Daphnia pulex: one gene and its partners. Each later gene encodes a partner of the first gene's protein in a complex. Links are inferred from orthologs where the notes say so. Each region holds a gene or a part of one and is shown in the gene's direction. Other genes may lie near its edges. The genes, in order: pre-mRNA-processing factor 17-like, U5 small nuclear ribonucleoprotein 40 kDa protein-like, pre-mRNA-splicing factor RBM22-like and pre-mRNA-splicing factor SPF27-like.

The links.
Region 2: pre-mRNA-processing factor 17-like (region 1) and U5 small nuclear ribonucleoprotein 40 kDa protein-like share a complex: the UniProt entries of both Homo sapiens proteins name them as parts of the postcatalytic spliceosome P complex. The link is inferred for Daphnia pulex from reciprocal best matches to the Homo sapiens genes CDC40 and SNRNP40.
Region 3: pre-mRNA-processing factor 17-like (region 1) and pre-mRNA-splicing factor RBM22-like share a complex: the UniProt entries of both Homo sapiens proteins name them as parts of the postcatalytic spliceosome P complex. The link is inferred for Daphnia pulex from reciprocal best matches to the Homo sapiens genes CDC40 and RBM22.
Region 4: pre-mRNA-processing factor 17-like (region 1) and pre-mRNA-splicing factor SPF27-like share a complex: the UniProt entries of both Homo sapiens proteins name them as parts of the postcatalytic spliceosome P complex. The link is inferred for Daphnia pulex from reciprocal best matches to the Homo sapiens genes CDC40 and BCAS2.

What each region holds. Positions count from the first base shown.
Region 1 is NC_060023.1:9,544,621-9,550,079, reverse strand, and holds pre-mRNA-processing factor 17-like, read left to right. Parts: upstream 1-1,831; 5' UTR 1,832-1,940; coding exon 1,941-2,093; intron 2,094-2,159; coding exon 2,160-2,376; intron 2,377-2,437; coding exon 2,438-2,679; intron 2,680-2,737; coding exon 2,738-2,837; intron 2,838-2,902; coding exon 2,903-3,117; intron 3,118-3,179; coding exon 3,180-3,443; intron 3,444-3,511; coding exon 3,512-3,645; intron 3,646-3,713; coding exon 3,714-3,935; intron 3,936-4,013; coding exon 4,014-4,191; 3' UTR 4,192-4,549; downstream 4,550-5,459. Other genes in the region: mannosyl-oligosaccharide 1,2-alpha-mannosidase IA-like, read right to left, coding at 1-43, 410-548, 610-1,070; active breakpoint cluster region-related protein-like, read right to left, coding at 4,787-5,000, 5,069-5,220, 5,276-5,403. UniProt on the Homo sapiens protein: Required for pre-mRNA splicing as component of the activated spliceosome. Plays an important role in embryonic brain development; this function does not require proline isomerization.
Region 2 is NC_060027.1:3,203,648-3,209,039, reverse strand, and holds U5 small nuclear ribonucleoprotein 40 kDa protein-like, read left to right. Parts: upstream 1-1,772; 5' UTR 1,773-2,115; coding exon 2,116-2,193; intron 2,194-2,349; coding exon 2,350-2,479; intron 2,480-2,542; coding exon 2,543-2,716; intron 2,717-2,778; coding exon 2,779-2,987; intron 2,988-3,913; coding exon 3,914-4,117; intron 4,118-4,175; coding exon 4,176-4,341; intron 4,342-4,412; coding exon 4,413-4,465; 3' UTR 4,466-4,545; downstream 4,546-5,392. Other genes in the region: syndecan-like, read right to left, coding at 660-752. UniProt on the Homo sapiens protein: Required for pre-mRNA splicing as component of the activated spliceosome. Component of the U5 small nuclear ribonucleoprotein (snRNP) complex and the U4/U6-U5 tri-snRNP complex, building blocks of the spliceosome.
Region 3 is NC_060024.1:7,162,606-7,168,089, forward strand, and holds pre-mRNA-splicing factor RBM22-like, read left to right. Parts: upstream 1-1,951; 5' UTR 1,952-1,995; intron 1,996-2,051; exon of another isoform or gene 2,052-2,071; intron 2,072-2,727; exon of another isoform or gene 2,728-2,745; 5' UTR 2,746-2,821; coding exon 2,822-2,875; intron 2,876-2,948; coding exon 2,949-3,002; intron 3,003-3,089; coding exon 3,090-3,353; intron 3,354-3,413; coding exon 3,414-3,929; intron 3,930-3,993; coding exon 3,994-4,350; 3' UTR 4,351-4,432; downstream 4,433-5,484. Other genes in the region: uncharacterized protein LOC124200919, read left to right, coding at 1-94, 173-421, 490-522; uncharacterized protein LOC124200920, read right to left, coding at 546-572, 1,384-1,512, 1,572-1,667, 1,874-1,951; renalase-like, read right to left, coding at 4,491-4,652, 4,722-4,793, 4,866-4,963, 5,026-5,199, 5,267-5,373, 5,447-5,484. UniProt on the Homo sapiens protein: Required for pre-mRNA splicing as component of the activated spliceosome. Involved in the first step of pre-mRNA splicing.
Region 4 is NC_060018.1:4,113,284-4,117,563, reverse strand, and holds pre-mRNA-splicing factor SPF27-like, read left to right. Parts: upstream 1-1,683; 5' UTR 1,684-1,744; intron 1,745-1,814; 5' UTR 1,815-1,866; coding exon 1,867-1,971; intron 1,972-2,162; coding exon 2,163-2,255; intron 2,256-2,323; coding exon 2,324-2,496; intron 2,497-2,561; coding exon 2,562-2,672; intron 2,673-2,733; coding exon 2,734-2,899; 3' UTR 2,900-2,956; downstream 2,957-4,280. Other genes in the region: uncharacterized protein LOC124189006, read right to left, coding at 82-206, 374-619, 827-1,004, 1,928-1,959, 3,188-3,266, 3,331-3,433, 3,512-3,711, 3,777-3,905 and 2 more. UniProt on the Homo sapiens protein: Required for pre-mRNA splicing as component of the activated spliceosome. Component of the PRP19-CDC5L complex that forms an integral part of the spliceosome and is required for activating pre-mRNA splicing.

The sequences.
Region 1 (5,459 bases):
CCCACGCGTAGGTTGCGTAGTTATCCCATGCGTGTTTCATCATCTAAGTTAAAAAAAAGGATACCGATTAGAGGGGAAAACTTTTACAATACTACATCTTAGAATTCTCATGGTTCCGCTGTAGAACTTTCTGAAATCCGACTATTGTTAGAGCTTCAGATATTAAGCTTAGAAATTGTTTCATATTCCTATAAGGTTTACACTATACAAACAAGATTACATTTTTTCATCCAATGTGATTAATGAGATTATACTCCGGAATTAAAATCCGAATGATATGTTTGTTAAAAAATAACAGAATACGGAAGCGATTCTAGAGATTATTATTTTTCCGATAAAAACAACACACTGTAAGTTCAACGTCCATGCAATATTAAAAGTAAAGGAAACTATTGATTTTTTTTTTTACCTTACGAACTGTTTCTCTTTTCGCTTTTATGTCTGGTTCAACGTCGTCTCCACCCTGAACCTTAGGTAGCCGAATTTTGGGTTGGTCAGCAATGTTTTTATCACTTTCTTTCTTGAATGACCCATGTGATAGGGTTGAACTAGTAAAATAAATATTGTTAGCTATTTTAATTTACACAATTATAAAAATTTGTATGATACCGAGAATCACCAGCTTCACTTTTACTTGAAGGAATCATTGGTTTGGGTAGAACTTTCAACTGGTTTTGCTCCAGTTCTAGTCTCTCTTCTGTTTCAATCTTTGCTCTTAATCTGGCTTGATCTTCCAATAAATGGAAATCTGGCTTATCAATTTGGCCATGATGTTGTTGAGATTTGCCGTCATGTACATCATCCTTTGCTAATGGAGGTAACTGCAATATGAACTCAGGGCCAACTTTTTGTACATGTTCATAAACCTTGTACACACTATTTATTGATGGCAATGCAATACCAGTGCGTAACTCTGGAAGAAAAAAAACTGTTCCAAAACAAGCAACTACAAGCCCAAAACACACAAAACCCAGTAAAACTCTCTCCTTTGAACGGCACAACTTGTTTAGAGATATCGGCAACTTAGTTGGCGACCTATGATAGGTAGGTAAAATGTTCTCGAGACCCATTTCGAAACGAGTTTCTCCACAAAACAAGAATTGCACAAGAATGAACTAGACGAAGCACACACACAAATCTATTAATTTCCATCCAATTTAATTAATTGGTCTGGTTACGCCGTTTACTTGAAATCACCCGGATTGAAGTAGCATGATTTATCTGCTGACTGTATTTTGTATTCCTATCTTACAACTGACATGCTAACACAACTCTCTGTTAATTCCAAATGCTGTTGTGGCAATGAATCAGAGAGGCAAGCAGACTGCTAACTGATAAGCTCTCAGCTCTGCTATGCTGGCAGGTCGAAATAGACGGAATAAGACCGGCCACGCATTGGTTGTCACTTTCCTATACAACGCCACCTGTACCGAGACGGCGAGACGGGCTGTAAAGACTAAAGCCTAAAAGTCCCGCATCATCTTCTTAATTTTAAGTTATAACTAGAAACTTCCTACGATAAATTTAATATTTCTGTAACTGACAATCGATCACCTTTAGTTATTAGCCTTTTTCGAAATATCATTCCATTCGAATATTCTAAAAGAACAACGGTATATTCAATATTGAGGCTAGTCTATACATGTCTGTATTGCACGTCCAGAGGTGCCACAGAGTAGAGAAAAGTCGCAATAAATCATCTCAGAATCCAATTTTTCGATCATATAAATAAAACGTAGAAAAAATTTTTGGCGATTCATTAATTCATATTATCACATATGTAAAAAAAAATATTACCTTCTTATTTTGTTGACTCCTCCAGCATTCCGGCAACTCTGCCTCAAACATGCTCTTGACGTTTTGGACTACGGTTGTTTCTTTTCGCGGTTAATAAGCAAGTTTAGTTTGAGATTTTGAGCTTATTTTACAAGTATTTCCAAATGGCCTCAGTGGCAGCATTACGTGACTATGGAAGTAGTGACGATGACAGTGGAAGTGGCGAAGATTCCCATCTTAATCCCATTAATACGACTGAATTGGTCAACCAGAAGTTGGTCGTTTCAGTAGTTGCAGCACCCGACGTTTTACCGAATGTAAGCCTTGATTTTCTTTTTCGAACTAATTGTTGAAATGGTAAATTAAACAAATTCTTTTTACAGGAAGAATTAGATCCTTTACGACATGTGGATCCGACATCCAAAGAACTGCTTTATAATCCCAAAGCAGAAGAACTCTATGCACCTACACTCGGACCAGATTGTCCATTCAAAACAGGGCAGCAAAGAGCACACAGAAATACAGTAGCTGGATTTGTCGAACCTGCCCACTTGAGTGAATTTCAATTTGAAGCCCAAAGAAAAACTTTCACCAGTTTTGGTTTGTATACATATTTTTTAATTTGCTTTCGTTCAAATAATTTAAACATTGACGTTTTCAGGTTATGCCCTAGATCCAACAGTTGGTCTAACTCAAAATGAAGGAAATAGTTATGTTGGAAACATTGAATCAGCTGAATCTTCCTCTGGCCGAACAGTCTTTGAGAACCCCAATAGACCAGATCCCAGCAGAGCTACAAATAAGAGAAAATTAGAAAAGAATGATGATTCTGCTGATTTAGAAGGATACAGAGGACCATGGGCACCATATGAAAATGAAAATCGAAGTGCGAAGCCTTCAGAGGTAAATGAAATATTTAAATTTGTATAATGAAATATTCATATAATTTTTAAAAATTTAGGCTGACAAGGAAGAACTTGATGCATATTTAGCCAAAATGAAGAAAAGGGGTAAACCCAGGTATGAGGAGAAAGCAATTGAAGAAAAAACAACTCTCCATAGTAAGGAATATTTAATAAATATTATGAAGACCGTGCATAAACTAATTAATAATCGAAATTTACAGTTGATGACCCTGTGGACTACCAAGGCCGAAACTTTTTACACGCACCTCATGACATAGGCGTCAACTTACGTTCAGACGCCCCACCTAATAAATGTTTCATCCCGAAAAAACAGATCCACGCCTGGACAGGACACAATAAGGGAGTGGCGCAGATTCGGTGGTTTCCTAAGACTGCTCATCTGCTCCTTTCGTGCAGCATGGATGGAAGAGTCAAGGTACATTTGTGAGCCTAAATTATCCTCAAATTCTTAGTTATTTCAACGCATTAACTTGTTAGATCTGGGAGGTGTACAAGGACAGAAGATGCGTCCGCACTTATTTTGGCCATCGGCAAGCTGTGCGAGACATAAGCTTCAACAACACTGGCGATAAGTTCCTTTCTGCAGCGTATGATCGTTACATCAAATTATGGGATACAGAAACAGGACAGGTTATTTCTCGATTTACGAATAAGAAGGTGCCCTACTGCGTCAAATTCAACCCTGAAGAAGATAAGCAACATCTTTTCGTTGCTGGAATGGCGGATAAGAAAATTGTCTGCGTAAGTTTTTAGTCATTCTATTATTTCCTACTTCAAAATCTTAATCTTTTTTTTTTGTATTAATATAGTGGGACACTCGCACCGGTGAAGCTGTTCAAGAATACGATCGGCATTTAGGTGCCGTCAACACAATCACTTTCGTCGATGAGAATCGAAGATTTGTGTCTACATCCGATGACAAGAGTTTACGCGTTTGGGAATGGTAAGATTAAAAGAACGAAGAAGCTTCTAAAAAAAAAAGACAGAAATTGAGACACCTTTTTGTTACAGGGATATTCCTGTGGACATGAAATACATCGCCGATCCCACTATGCATTCCATGCCTGCTGTAACGCTGGCACCAAATTTGAAATGGCTTGGATGTCAAAGCATGGATAACAAAATCGTCATTTACTCTGCACTAAACCGCTTCAAACTCAACAGAAAGAAAACTTTCAAGGGACACATGGTTGCTGGTTATGCGTGTGGTCTTGATTTCTCACCTGAAATGAGGTATGTTCTTGCAGTATCTTTATATTGTTGATTCTTGTTCGTCCCCTCTTAACTGTGTTTATTTTCTTTTTTTTTTAGTTACGTGATTTCCGGCGACGCTGACGGCAAAGTCTTCGTTTGGGACTGGAAAACTACTCGAGTGCTGGCTAGGTGGAAGGCTCACCAAGCTGTCTGTAGTTCCGTCTTATGGCATCCTCACGAGACATCGAAAATTGCATCAGCTGGATGGGATGGATTAATTAAGTTTTGGGACTAGAGATACGTGTCATTCAGGGTTTATCAATTTGAAAAATGGACAAATTTAAAAGGCTTGGCGCTCCGATTTCACGTGAATGATTTATGAGAAGTACAAATCTTTTAACACATACAAATGCTTGTACTGTACTCACGTAACACACAAAAAAAGAAAAGATATGCGTTGTCTACAGTTACATTCGTAACTGAATTATCCGTTTAAATGCCCGAAGAATTTCTTGACATTCTATCAAAGGTCAACGAACACAAGACAAACGCCCAGAAGTACTTAAGCCTCTTTCACAAAAGACACAATGAAACACAAAAACATTTAAACTAAGACTCTTATTCTTTATGGCAATACATTTTGTATAAAAATGGTTAGCTCTGGTTCAAGATCTAAAAATGTAACACGCCCCGTTGATGTTTTGTGGGGGAAATCGAAAATTAACAAAATATTTAAAAAAAAAAGAAAAAAAATATTGCATCTCTTTGACTTAATGGACAGTTGGTCCCTGTTTTTTTCTCGATATAAAAAATGAGAATCTTTAAGTTGGTTCACTTACTAATCGGGTCCCAAATCACGATATTTTAAGTAGCTGCTGAACCTTATAACATCAGACGGGAGGATACTGAATCGGAAGTCGACGTGCTCTCCTAAGCAGAAAGTAGTGGAGAATTCCTGCTTGCGCCATCACGTCAATTGTTCCCATTGCGAGTTGATCAAGACTGTCCGGAGTATCGGTAGGAGCTGGTCGTAACAAAGTAGGGCCGAATACAGTAGCTAGGTTATGGAGAGACATTTTGTTCTTCACTTCTTTACAGTTGACACTAAAAAAAAATAATGATGAAGGTAAGTATCATTACAGTCTAAAATGTATTTGACAAAACGAACTTACCAAATCAAATGGTCTAGCAAGTGCATTATGACTGTTTGATTCAATTGCGGCAATGAGGAGAATAGTATGGCTAGATTTCTAACCCCAACATCGCGAGTAATAGTAATGTCCTCGACGGCATTCATTGAAGCAACGTCTAATGTACTGAATGCCTGAACAATGCGTCAATAAACAGACTTTTCACTAATCAATTTTTTAAATATTTACTTGAAGAAAATGCGGATAAAGTCTATCGGTAAACAACGCTTCGGGCAACTGGCGAAGGTACAATTTCAATAAACCGCTTATAGAATTCACATCGACATCTTTCAGTACGGTATCCCACTCTACGCCACCTTAGAAGTAATTCAAATAATTTATGATACCTATGATATGATAATGCGGTAGGAAT
Region 2 (5,392 bases), on another chromosome or scaffold:
AAATGAATAAATCATCAAGACTTAATCCTTGACTGGTACGTAGCTTCTTTTGTTTTGTTTAGTTTTTCGCAAGGAAAAAGCCTTGAGACCTCCAATGGCCTAGATTACTACTAGCAAAGGACATTCATTCATGTTCAAACTTCAGGTTAACCTTAGAGGTACGACCAAGGTCGGCACATGCAAATTTTCTCGTTTCTCTCCTATTTGAGAATGAAAAACAGTTACATAAAAGAGCTGCAATTTCTCATATATCTGCCAAAATTGTTAAAAGGTTCTTTTTCTTTTGGAAAAAATAAAACCGTTCGGGAAAATCGAGCGCAGAGGAATGTCTTGATTTGAACATCAGACGCCATATTTCCTTAAGGGGCTCATGGGAGACCCTCTCGATGGTGCTGATGCTAATGTCATCAACAGAACTCGAGAGACAAACACAAACAACTTAGCTGAAATTTTTTAAAACTACAAGAAAACAAAACTTCCACATCATTAAGTAATCTCTCTCTCTCTCCACAAAACGTTAGTTTAAAAAGAACGACAAAATAAAACAAAACCCAACAAAATGTGTCGTGACAAAATTGTGAGCCTGGAATCAAGGGTGTGGGAGTTTTATGATAGTCCAGATGTGTGAAAAGATCAATAAAAAGTGGTGGCATTCTTACCTTGGCAACCGATGATGCACTGTTGATGTTACTGCTAACCGAATGTGCAGCCAAAAAGGCGATGAAAATCGCCATATGTATTCTGGGATTCATTTTTGAGAGAATTTCCTGAGCGTTTGAGAGTCTGCCTTACGTGTGTGTGAGAGGGTGGAGAGAGAGATTTTTTCAGTATTATTTATTTTAAGAGCCGGATATCCGTTTCTAAAGTTTTCTTCCAAGATTTTTGTGTTATTTCAATACAAAAGTGGAGAACGTGGTCGAATAAATTAGGATAGTTGCAGCCTTTTGTCCGTTTTTCTAATTTTCTAAACACAGACGGTGATGCTCTCAGGTCAGGCTGGGCATTTTCTTTCTTTCTTTCACACTTCTTCTCTCTCACAGGCGCGCACTCAACCACACAGTTCACTGGTGAAGCCAAAACGATGGCCGAGTTTTACTCGTCGATTCGGGGACGGAATGTTAAATATCAACAGAACAAAAAGAGTTGCCGGGAATTGGCGTGATTTCGAGACACTTCTCGATGTAACCAAAGGCCGAAATGGATTAAAAGATCCCAACTCACGCCCAGATCATCAAACACACCAGCCGAGAGCCGCCATTAAACTGAAGGGACTGGATTTTTCTTTGTGTCCCTCCGCCGCCATTGGGTACCAAAAACTCTGCCATCTGGCGGCAGTTTTCAGCTCCTCCCCACTTTCTCCTCCAACAACATAGACGTGGAAATTATACGGACGAATGTAAACCACACACACGGGAAAGAAAAGGAAAAACAAAAATCAATCTCATCATTTCCTCATCATGTTGGGAAAAAATGAATGACTCAATTTAGGTCATGGATTCAGCGCTCAAAATATCTTCATCTCGAGAGACTAGTTTTGTTCTTTCCGACGCACCAAATTTCGTTGGAATGGAAAAGAAATCCCAGACATAGCGACTATCACATATACTGGTGAAGTCGTTTTCTTGCGAGTGTTAAAAAACTAGAAGGTCCTCTGTTCTATAGTCACACGGACACACAAAACTTAAGAAAATATCGAGGGGAGAGATTTAATGTTTGTTGTTTCTCCCTCCTTCTTCTAACACTCCTTTTCTTTTTTTACGATCGTGGGTTCGCCTGTTTTCCGGCCCCAATAATACCCATTGTTTTCCAAGACTGCGCGGGTGTTCATGAAATTCCTCGAGTTACAACTTCTTTTTCCCAAAAAAAGAAAGAGAAAAAGGGTTCGGAAATTCTTGAGCGATATACCACTGTGACAGCTTTTCCCCATCTCAATTTTTATTCTTTTATTATACCAAAGTCTTTCCAAGTTTCCAACAAGATTTGGAAAAGGCGACCACTATAAAATATAGATCTAGCAAGAAAAGGCTTCTGCTCCGTCAGTAGTAGTTGTCAAAACTTTTTCACTTTTTTTTTCTACAACTTGAAAATTTTCTTAAAAGTCTAGAAGCCGGAGCAATGGCGCTTGTGTCAGTAAACAATCCCAGCAATAATGAATTGGTGTCGGCCACCTCGGGTCAAGTGGCCCTGCAACAGGTTTGATTTATTTGTGTTTTATTTATAAACTTTTAAATGAGCCGAATGCATCACAAAAGAGAATTGCATCCAACCACATGCTGACCAGCTTGTGTGTTTTGTTGTTGTAGATGCTATGATGAATTCAAATGTGATATTGACTTTTTCAATAAACAGGGACCAGCAAGAACGTCTAGCCTCATGGCTCCTATAATGCTCCTGGCAGGACATCCTGGAGATATCTTTAGCCTGAAGTTCCATCCTGACGGCCAGTTTTTGGTTTCCACCGGGTTCGACAGACAAATATGTAAGCATCATATATACATTTGAGCATCTCTACTGTTTGGATAATCAACCTCTTGTTCAACAGTTTTGTGGAATGTTTATGGAGAGTGTGAAAACTTTGCTGTGTTGTCTGGTCACACCGGAGCAGTAATGGATCTTCAGCTGTCTACCGATGGTGATACCATTTACACTGCTAGTACAGACAAAACCATTTGTTTGTGGGACACCAGAACAGGAGCTAAAATCAAGAAACTGAAAGGTATACCATTGTCACTGTCCCATTATTTAGCAATTGAACCCAACAACAATTTGTTTCAACAGGCCACTCCTCCTTTGTCAATGCTATTCATCCTGCACGAAGAGGACCTCCTCTTCTCTGCAGCGCCTCAGATGACTGCAACATCAAAGTCTGGGATCCAAGAAAAAGAACCGAGACAGTATCATTAGATAATTCTTACCAAGCGACTTCCGTCACCTTCAACGATACCGCCGAACAAGTCATTTCCGCAGGCATCGACAACGATGTTAAGGTGAGTTCGCAAAATTCAATTGTTGTAATAGAGAGAGAGAGAGAGAGAAGAAAAACTATGGGACCAATTTCCAAGAATTTGAATTAAGCCACCGATTCGGCGAACTTCATATTCCGTGTGAGTGGGAGAAAGTCACAAACTTGAGTATTTTTCTTACAGAATTGATTAAAGTTCTCAGTATTTTTACTTGATGGCTTCAAGAGAATAGTTTGGCAAAAAAGGAAGGACCTGCAGTCATATTCTGTCTTTGTTGTAAAAACTAAAGTTTCGACATTGTTGATTGTTTTCTACTTAATATTGAACCATATTCGTGCAAGTTCTGTCTTACCCTATCATCGAGTTCATTTTCCTTGAAGAGTGCAAGGGATTTCAACTTTGGTATTCTGATTATCGCGTGTCTCACCTTGATAAGGTCACCAAGTCCTTCCTTACTTCCAGGGCCCCTTCTCTTTGATATATGAATGGGTTCACTAATGTAAGCTCGTAGGCGAAGTTTTTAAAATTAATTCAAGTAATTTCAGCAGTAGGGTCTCGTCAAATGTCCTAATTCCATCCTAATTACTGAAGATGCGCATTTTTGTGTTTTGTCAGTTTGAGGCAAATGTGAAACGCTGGAAGCGGATTCTGATACTTCTTTGCTTGTCAGATGGTTGCACATTATCGATCAAAACTTTTCCCCGTAATACTTATGACAATTTTGCGACATCTTTAGGAAGAATTTACTCTGAAAAATAGATAATTTTCACTTTTTATCGATTATCTTTTCGTTCGAACTAAACCCATGTTAAGTTTTCTCCTTTTTTTGGAAGATATTCATTTTAAAACCTGAAAAGTAGTTTTGCATTTGCGATATTTCAACTGGTCCTGGCCTTGAGCTATTCACGTGAATATGGAGAGATAGGTAAATCATACACTTTCCTTTTTAGGTCTGGGACTTGAGAAAAAATGCTCTCCTCTACTCCTTGAAGGGCCATTCCGACACTGTGACCGGCTTGACTCTCAGTCCTGATGGATCTTACGTGTTGTCAAACTCGATGGACAACTCTTTACGTGTCTGGGATGTACGACCTTTCGCTCCTCAAGAACGTTGTATCAAAATGATGGTTGGCCATGCTCACAACTTTGAAAAGGTATATACAATGCCGGCGAATTTCTCAATCCATTCTAATACCTTGTGTAATGTTATAGAATTTACTTCGCTGCTCATGGTCACCTGACGGAACCAAAGTTTCAGCGGGATCTGCCGACCGATTCGTTTACATTTGGGACACTACATCTCGCCGCATCATTTACAAATTACCTGGTCACAACGGAAGTGTCAATGACGTTGTATTTCATCCTAAGGAACCTATTGGTAATTTACGCAGCAAATCAACATCAAGGACATCAATTAATTTCAGATTTTTTATTTTGAATGAAACATAGTTGCATCCGGTGCCAGTGACAAGCTGATTTACCTAGGCGAAATTGACGCTTAATTAGGAAAGGTTATAATTTTTTTCAGTTGAAACGATGGCAAGGATCGAGGACGAATAAACAAATAATTCTTTTACGCATATTTACAAAATTGCATTTAAATTAATCGACATTTAAAGGCCAAAAAAAACTTAATTGGATTGTTTGCTCGTTCTCGAGTCCATTTAGAGATCATCACGTTAAGAAAATGCAATTATGAATGGAAAAACTAGGAAGAAAAGGTTAGCTAGGTACGAATAATGTTAACGGCACGTGAGAAAAATCAATGGATGAAGTGCCATCCTCTGATCAAGTGATGACTTGCGAGAAGGTGTTTCAAAAGTGTCTGAGTGCTATTGTTCTGTCACGTCTTCGCAGTGACAAAGATAGCGGAAGTGTCCTCCTTAGCGCTTTAGAGAATTCAGTACTCCTGAGAATGTAGAGCAAAGGGCTAATGACTGCGTGCAACAGATGCAGTTCACGTACGTATGGAATGAGTGCCGTGAATGTTGAATCGCTGCATTGGCGTGGATTCATTTGACAGATAACGATGGCCAGGAAAACAAAAGTTAATGGCAAAGCGAAGAGAATTAGCGGAACTATTCCAGACACGAGAGTGACGCTCGCTTCCAATTCTAAACGAGAAATAGTTTTATCTGGCAAATGCACAAAGTGCTCATCCGGTTTGAGTACAGCGTTTGTTGTCGGTAGGAGCGTTTTAAAGCGTAAATAATGACGAGTTCTAACATACACGACGACTTGCGCAACAGTTATGATGCCAACCAGGACGAAATGAGAAAACGTCACCCACTTCACCACAGACACTTCAACGGAACATACGGGAAACTGAATTTTGCCTAACCAATAGGGACTAGTTTGCATGAGCAACACCACAATCCAAGACGTGATGATAAACATGACCACTCCGACGACGGTGATTCGTCTTTGAT
Region 3 (5,484 bases), on another chromosome or scaffold:
ACCGTTTCACAGTAGTCCAGAAACTTCCAATAACGATAGATCAAGTTGTCTGCACAGCCCTTGGTCTCCTGTTTCTTTCCGGCGATGGCAAAGTGTACACAATCAGCTATAACGATCAAGAACCGGTCAGTTTAGTCTTGCTCAGGATGAATTTTGCTTTTTCATTCGTTAGTTTCAAAGGATTTTGAGTCACGGAGATCAAGTGGGCATTGATGTTGGGCATCACGGCTGCTCCTTACCTGTGTTGCAGCGTTTGAAGAACCACGTTATTGCTCTTGCAGGGGAAATCCAAATCTGGGTGCCGTACAAGATACAGCTCAAGCTTTTCTCCAATTGGCTTGGAGTCTTCTTTTGCCTACTGCTTCAGAAAGAGCTTCAGCATTGCCCACACTTTTGCAAAGAGACGACGAATATGATAGTTGTATGTCCACAGAGAGATGCATTTCATTGGCTTGCCATCATCTAAGTTCATTTCGATTTGTCTTTAAGGTGGTGGACGTTTCATGGCCGATTTATTGGTGATTTCCATGATGGCGGACGGAGGGTTACAAGCAGCTTTCGAAGCTTCGTTGCTAGGTAAACCAGATAAGACCAATTTTATTTGAGTAATTTTTATTGCATGTTTTCTATCAAAATTTTCAGCTGAAGCAAATGATCTTGAGATAAACGGCCGATGCAATAACGACGCGGTATTGAGAATAGGGGATGGCGCAAAAAAATAAAAAAAATAATAAAACATACTATAAATAAGAGAAAAAAAAAATATCTCCCAATCATACTATAGCTGGGAAAAATTTACTTTTCGAGTTATTCACGTTGAAAGTTTCGACTACGTGGCCCACCTCTAAAACGCAGGAGGTGGCCTATTTATCACGTGATTCTTGGTGCATTACCGCTGGTCAGTTTTAACCAATGAGAATAGATCACGTGATCGGGGGAACCAATAGAAGCGGGGAACATCTGTCATTTCGTCTGTGTCCGCAAGGTGTCGCGTCAAGCTTGTAGCAATCTAGTTTTTTTACCGCCATGTGGTAAAAGAATGAAAAGTTGTTTTCAGGGATACGCATTCTATTGGCTGTTGCCGGTCACGTGATCTGCTCCCATTGTAAAAACTGACCAGAGCTAAGCTAAAACTGGCAGAGCCAGGGAGTCGAAACTTTAAACGTGAATAACTCGTAAAGTAAATTTTTCCCAGCTATAGTTTGATTGGGAGATATTTTTTATTTATTTTTTCTCTTATTTTTAATATGTTTTATTATTTTTTTAATTTTTTGCGCCATCCCCTATTCAGACAGCATGGAGCCGGAGGAAACCGTTTACTTTCTAAAATTCTAAAAAATGAAGTAAGTTAACAGTTCATTATAAATTAAAATGTTCTCTTACCTTGCATGTAGCTATATGAGTTGGGGGCTGGCAATAACATATGTTCTTTTCTCTTGAAAGACCATAACCTTTCGGCATCCGATAATGGCTTATGCGGTGGCTACTCAAGCTGAAGATTGACGTAAAGGTCTGAAATTACAAAAAAAATTATAATTGAAATATGTAAGAGTGGATGATTAAATAGTTACCTTCCCACAATAATCACATGCGAGAATGGGTGAGTTGGGACAAACTTCAACGCTGGAACTAGGAATTTGACCCAATACTCCCTCAGCCTGATTGTCCTGAAATTTAAAACATGAACATGAATTAGAAAATCATACCCCAGGTAAAAGCATTGTGGATTGCAGATTGCAGGACTTCTTTCCCCTCGATCAACAATGCTATTCACCTAGGGAAGATTGCTGTTGGCAGCTGAGGGTTGGTGGGTGGCTCGACTTCCATGATTTAGAAGGAACTGTGTATATAAATCAAAGTTTACCAAACTTACCTCTAGCGTAGTCTTCTTCAGTTTTTTTACACACATAGACAGGTTCTTTAGTCGCCTGTTAAGCTTCAGGCTGGCCATGGTAGTTCCAATTTTCTTCAACTTCTGGATTTCTTTTGCTAAAGGTAAGTTTGAATGAGGTTAAGAATGAGTTATTACTTTAAAAAATAATGTTACTTACCATCTTTGTTTAGTTTATCCACCCTTTTCTCTATCTCGCCTAAATCCTGGGTAAAATTTGATTCCAGTATTTGGATTGGTATTGGTATTGGTAGGATTAGGTGCGTCTGCTATGTTTAGCAGACATCTGGTCTTCAACTAGATGACCTTCTTGCACCGACGAGATATTTTTTCTATTGATTTTTTTGAGCGATGGCGTGAGCAGTGTAAGTGTTGTATTGTATTGTGTGGAAGGAGCCCCAAGAAGGGGGATGGAAGTACCATCATTGTGTACGATTTGGCGCTAGTGCCTGCCTTTTTAGGAAGAGATCTGTATTGTATGTGTAGTGGTAGTGCCCGGGTATGGGAGCAACTATGCTCACCGGGAGAGTCGAACTCAGGTCTCAAGGTGCTCCCCGATCACCAAGCGACGCCTTATCCAGCTCACCTACCCGCCCCCCCCCCCCCCCAGTATTTGGATATCCATGTCAATTCAGAGTTCAGACGTCAAAAACAAACACTTAAGGAAAAAGGATTGTTTATCGATATTTAACTTTAAATCGATATCCATTGTTTATTTATAATATTTAATTACTTTATGTTATGGAAATTTTTTACAATTCTATTTAAATTATTACACACATTTATTAATTTAAATAAAAATTGTCATAAATTTCCATAAAATGAAGTAAGTAAACAATATATATCGATCCAAGTTAGTATCGATACCGAGACAGACCGATTTTAAAGTTATCGTGTGGTCCTTTGGGGCATCAGATTTTACGTTTCAAAATGGCGCTGTCGAAATCATCAAACACTTATGGACGTACAAGTTGGGAAGATTCGGTAATATTATACTATTTTGATAGTTTAAAATTGAGACTGATACTAACCAGTGAATTAATTTAATATAATTTAGGAGTTTCCAATTCTCTGCCCAACATGTCTAGGAGACAACCCTTACGTTCGAATGGTGAATGAAACTTAACTTAAAAATGCATACGTTAACTATGTTTTTCGTAATTCTTATTCGTAATTCGGTTCCCCTAATTTTTTTTAGATGAAGGAAAAATTTGGCAGTGAATGTAAGATTTGTGTCAGACCTTTCACAACCTTCAGATGGTGCCCTGGTGCCCGTATGCGCTTCAAGAAAACAGAAATTTGTCAGACTTGTGCAAAACTTAAAAATGTCTGCCAGACTTGCTTATTAGATCTTGAATATGGACTTCCCATTCAAGTCAGAGACCAAGCACTTAACATTAAAGACAATATTGCAAAATCTGATGTGAACAAAGAATATTTTATTCAAAATGCTGAGAAACAAGTAAGTTGAATGCTGCTTTGAAATGAATTTTTTACATTCATGCATTTTTATTGTTGACAGCTTTCTGCAACAGATCATGGTGTACCTGGAGCTGCTGGTGGTCCAGGAAAATCTCATCCTCCATCAGATCTTCTGATGAAATTGGCACGCACAGCACCATATTATCGTAGGAACTTGCCACACATTTGTTCTTTCTGGGTGAAAGGTGAATGCAAAAGAGGAGAAGAATGTCCTTACCGTCATGAAAAACCCACTGATCCAGATGATCCATTGGCTGATCAGAACATTAAAGATCGTTATTATGGCACCAATGATCCAGTGGCAGAAAAGCTCATGCGTCGGGCTGCCACTCTTCCTCGTTTGGATGCTCCTGAAGATAAGTCCATTACCACTTTGTATGTGGGTAACATTGGAGAGAAGATGTTGGAAAAAGAACTACGAGATCATTTTTATCAGTACGGTGAAATTCGATCCATCACTATCGTTTCACGACAGCAATGTGCTTTTGTAACATACGTCACCCGCTCAGCTGCAGAATTGGCTGCCGAAGGAACCTTTAACAAACTAATTATTCAGGTACGGACCTTTTACTTTCTGGTTTCAATTCCCCAAAACTTATTCAAATTATTTGAAAATTTAGAATCGGCGGCTTGTTATTCGTTGGGGTAAATCTCAAGGCAAACAGAATGTTCCTGGAACAACAAATACTGAAGCTGGAGCTCGTTTTGAACCTGTTCCGGGTCTTCCCCGAGCTTTGCCACATCCTGAAGAATTGGAGCATAACTTTTTCAATTTAGCTCCTACAAGCAATGCATACCCATCTCCTTATCCTCAATATCCACCATCCACATATCCATTGATCGCTCCACCACCACCAAACCCCACACCAAATCAGGCGGAACTTCCAGTATTTCTTGCCGAAAGTCAGCAGGGCATCCATTACCCTTCTCAGGATCCGACTCGTCTTGGCGCGATTAATAAGACACGACAAACATAACGACAGAAATTTTCAGAATTACGATATGCTTGTCTGTAATTTTTGTATTTCCGTTTTTGAAATTTAAACTCTCACGATAAAATGTCCTGTAATTTATTTTATTTAATATCTATAAGTTTTTTTGCATATAAGGTTTTGCGCTATAAATTGGCTGTTTTTGATGTGAAGTGCTGAATGATTTTTTCAGCCGACGATACACAACCATCGAAGTTCGAATGAGTAAATCCATCCCCACCAACTAGCAGAAGAGGTTCCTGGGAGATCTCAAGTACACCCGGCTGATCTTCATACGGTTTCGTTACCTTAAAAGCAAATAAAATAAAAAGGTAAAATTTGCAAGCACACAGAAATGAAAAAGGGTTAGTGAGAACCTGGGAGTATCTCCATTTATGGCATTTAAATGCCTTTGGTGAAGGTAGATCGGGGAAAGATCGTTTTAAAGCCTTAATCAAAATGTAAAATTCAAAATATAATCTCGGACATTTTAAAACAAAATGTTATAATGCATAATTTACCTCTTTTAGAATAGGTTCCGCTTCTGGGACGGTTAGATCAATATGTTGTACACCGAAGGGGACAGATGTGTGAAGAATCACAGATGTTGGGACGTCAGCTGGATTAACAATATGAGTTGGTAACGTTCGATTCATTCGGCTTGATTAAAATAAAACTTACGCCGATTTCTTCTTAAATTGTCGACTGCGATGAATCGAAATACAGGATCATCTTTTATGTAGGAGGCATCGAATGGTAAATTCAGTTCAGTGCCGTGATCATAATACAAGCTCATTACATAACGTGCACTGTACTTGACATTTTCCAATTTTGTCTTCATTTCATGGTTATTTTCTACAAATTAAAAAGTAAGATTACAGATAACTAAACTATATAAGTTATAGAAAAGATGAACGTTTACCAAGAATGTCTTTTACACTACCCCCCAATTGCAGAATTTGAGGGACAGGAATTGTTAAAATAACCACATCAAAATAGTTTTGCTTTCCTTGAAGAGTTGAAACACACCTAATAATAAAAAGGGATATAGCCAATATATAATTGAATTCTACTGTTTCTACATTTGTTTGCTATGAAATACCATTTCTCATTTATTCTAGTCACACTAGTAATATGGTG
Region 4 (4,280 bases), on another chromosome or scaffold:
AATCATTTACTCATAAACACAGACCAAGAAGCAACTCATCATTTTCCCGTGATAATTATACATAAATATCTAGAAACAAACCTTCTGGACATCAGTCCATGCGCGAAGACGGCGCAACAACACGACGGCCTGTTTGGTTTTTTTGTATTCTTGAACCTTGTCCGACACAACCAAAGGCATCTCCGGGACATCATTGATCAAGTGACCTGAATGTAAAAACATTTTAGTTCTAATTCAATATGACCTTATTTACTACTATCATTGTATGGATCAGGGACTCATGGTATGACTTCATGCTTGTCAGAAACACAGGAAACACATATTCATCATGCTAGTATGGAACCGTGCAATGATGATCTTGGCTCATATTTACCTTTGGACATCACCAAAGACGGAATACCCGAAGCAGCGACGGCCGAGCACAATGCAAAACGTTTCTGGTTAACGTTGATCTTGCGATGCCAACGGCGCCAGATCTTGGTGGGGGCAAACATACGTCCACCACGACACATGTTACCATAGGCACCCTGACCGGAGCGATGGGTACCACCTCCTCGGACACGGGGAATACGAGCCACAGCACGACCAGTACCCCATGATTCAGCACTTGTCTGATGACCTGTAATAGGAAAGAAGAAGATTAACAATCACACCATTACATGTGTGTATGAAGTTTGTCCGGTTGCCCAACCCCTCACTTTAAGAAAACAAAGCGAGAAAGGCCTCAGGGACTCGCTTTAGTGTTGCACACTGCACAAGAAGAGTCTGACGTACAATTACTCCTACATTTCAATGCTGTGTGCCATATAATTGGCATACAAGTTACCTGCTTTCTCGCTGACACAATAAGGGTGACGACGATTCATTGACATTTGTTGTTGAACAAAGCTGACAATGTCTGGCCTAATGGGAGCCCTGAAGATTGCAGGGAGCTGGATGCTGGTTCCAGAGGCCTCAGCCTTCTCATTGTAAACGGTAATCAACGGCCTCGCGACCACCTTACTCTGTAAAACAAAATGGATAAACAAATTAGATTTAAGATTTTCAAGAGACAACACTTGAATTTACACAAACTTTGAACTAGATGTACCAATTAACCAAAACATAACAATAAACCAAGAACGACGTTGAATTAACATAGAAAAACAGCAAGAGCCCATTTGACACGAGGACGAAACCACGCTGTGGGTAACATTTTACTCCCAAACTTTCGCCATAGATTAACAAGAAAATGGCTTAGAAAAATATACGCACGCAAGAATTTTCTTAAAACACGTTTCTCCCGTTAACCTTTTTACTTACTATTCGTAAATTAATGTATGTAAAAACTAGTAAAATGTTTGGAGAACCTCATGCTTACCATCTTGGTAGATAGTCCTGACCGGGTAAAAAGGCGAATGAAAGAGACCCACAGTAATGGCGACAAAGAGGAAGTCTACAATGTTGCCGGCATACTTTGAGAATTGCCGCCCTCTACGTTCCGTTTTTTACTTGATTATTTACTTGAAAAATTACAGATTATTCACTGAACTGATCCACTGTTTAATAACAAAAATTATGGAGTTTCAATTGATGATTTCAAACATTTTAATGGAGTGATTAGTTATAAAATTTTTAATATTGTTTTATTTGTTTCACAATGCAACGGTGTCCAAAATATTATTGAATAAAATTTAATATACCAATTTATTTTCATATTTTATTCATTTAAAGGAAGTTAATGATCTTTATTCATTATCAAAAAGTAAGTTTATGAATAATTAGACATAATGAAAATCAATTACTAAAACTGTGGCTCATATTTATTAATCCAGCAGAAAATCTGACAATCTTGCTGACAACAGACAGTTTGACACAAATCACAAAATGCCGATTCCGTCAACAAACATTTCCACGCCGAACGAAAGGATTTTGGTTGACGATTTACCATACGTTGACCAAGAATATGGAGATCCAACTCTACGAGAAGCGGTAAGCAAAACTTATACATTGCAAACTTTGAAATATTTGAATCGCTTCGAATTGAGGCTTGGAGATTCTTGTGTTAGCCTAGTCATCTCTAACATCAATACATTATTGTACTAGACCATAGTACTGTATGTTGCTGAGAACTCTCGCTCTTGTCCAATAGTTGTTTAATGAGAGTAATTTCTTTCTATCAGGCACTTGCATTGGTTGATGAAGAGACACGAAGATATAGACCAACCAAAAACTACCTAGAACATCTTCCTCCACTTGAGCTGTCAGCATTTGAAGTAAGAACTGTCTGCATGGAAGTAATGATAGGAGTGTGTAATAATTATGGAAATTATCATGTTCATAGACTCCTTTGATGAAGACTGAATTTGAGCGACTGTCTCAAAAGAAACCAATGGATGTTTTGAGCATGAAACGATATGAACTCCCACCCCCATCTGCTGGTCGTCTAAATGATCTTCAAGCATGGATAGAGTGTGTTGATAATTCAATGGCTCAATTAGAACATCAAACAACAAGGTTTGTTTTCTAAAAAAAAATTTTACAGCAACCATAAATTTAAAAAAATTTCAATTAAAAAACAGGATTTTGAACTTGGAATTAATGTCAGAGTATGGTTGTGAATCATGGAGAATTTATAACACTGTATTGTCCCAGATGATCCAACAATCTCAGAAGCATCTTCAGGAATTTAAGTATGATTTCAGTAAAGTAGACACCATATTGCAAAATACACTATTATATTTTTCTTTACAGGAAACAAATCCAAGATGTCAATTGGGCTAGAAAAAAAGATCAGACAGAGGTTGGAGACAAAATGAAACATTTGGAAGCCACTTGGTTTGGTTTGATCACTAAAAACTACGAAATCGAACTCGCGTGTGCTGAAATTGAGAGACAGTTAGCTTCACTTAATGAATGAAATTCAATGTAAACCTACTTTATCGAATTCGGATAATACACTGCAACAGGAAATTGATTCATCCGAGATTTTCAGTAAGTGACAACCAAAAAGATTTGGTTGTAAGGGAACAAAACAAAAAAATAGTATAAAGTCATGCACTTTCAGATTAGCTTGTCTTATAAATGGTAAGTAGCACGTTCTGATTTTATATATCACACAATTGAAAACGAGAAGAAGCGTATGAGTACAGCAAAGCGTAATTCAGAGAAGGGTAAAAAAAAGGGTAAGATCATAGGGAAGTCTCACTTGGGGCTGAACTTAAAGGTAAAGGGCGGACGGAAGACTCATCTTCCAGCACCATAACTCGTTGCTTTAGGACGCGAACCTGATAATCACATGACATTTTTATGTCGGTCACACTTGATAACTCGTAATTTTTCTCTATATACCTGCATTGCATGTCTTTCCGACATGTTGACCATTTGCTGCTCTAGTCTTTTTAATCGAGATTGGTACTTTTTCTTAGTCCTCTCAAGAAGTTGGACCAACGTCCTGAAAATTAGTTTACGGATATTACATATTTGTTGAAAACGTAACATATTGTAAGTTAAGCATTTAAAGATATCTTACGCGTTGGCTTTCTTGACATCGCTAACTAGTTCAGCCGACTGCTGACTACGGATTTCTGCACTTGAAGTGACGCGTTCAAGGGCTCCCGTCAACTCTTGGATTTTCAATTGGAGTCGCTTTTCTCGAACTGTTAATTCGTCTCCATCAGCTCCTTCAATTGAGGACAGAGGCTTTTCGCCTGATGCATCTGTGTTAGATCCCTATCAGTGAAAAGTGCGTTTAAGTAACCTAAATCATTCTCCATTTCAATATCCAAAAAACCTACGCCTGTGTTAAGACTTCGAAGTTGAGCGGCAGTTGCTTGTTGTTGGGCTTCATGAGTAGCCCGCTCTTTTTCAAGAATATAAACCTGAGTTCGAAGTCGTGAACGTTCTTCTCTCATGGCCATCAATTCCTAGAGAAACGATAGGATTAAATCTATTTTTACTCATTTATACAAAAGCAGATGTTCACCTGCATGATGACGGCCATCTCTAGATCAATTTTCCGAGCTTCAGCCAAAGGTAAGACTTCTTTAGGCAAAGGATCAACCAAAACTGACTCCAGGGGAAGCGAAACTTGTTGAACTGTGTTTTCCAAGCTTGATCTATCACCTACAAAAGATAATGAGAAAATGATTAAGTAATTTGCTTAAGTAAGCCTGGGCACAAAATATGTTACCTTTCAACCGGCCGATTATATCTCGTACTTTCCTTTCTGTGGGCTCCAGAGTACAAGCTGGATTGGATCCCGATCCTGAACCACTCTCCGCTCCACTTGAGGTAGAGCT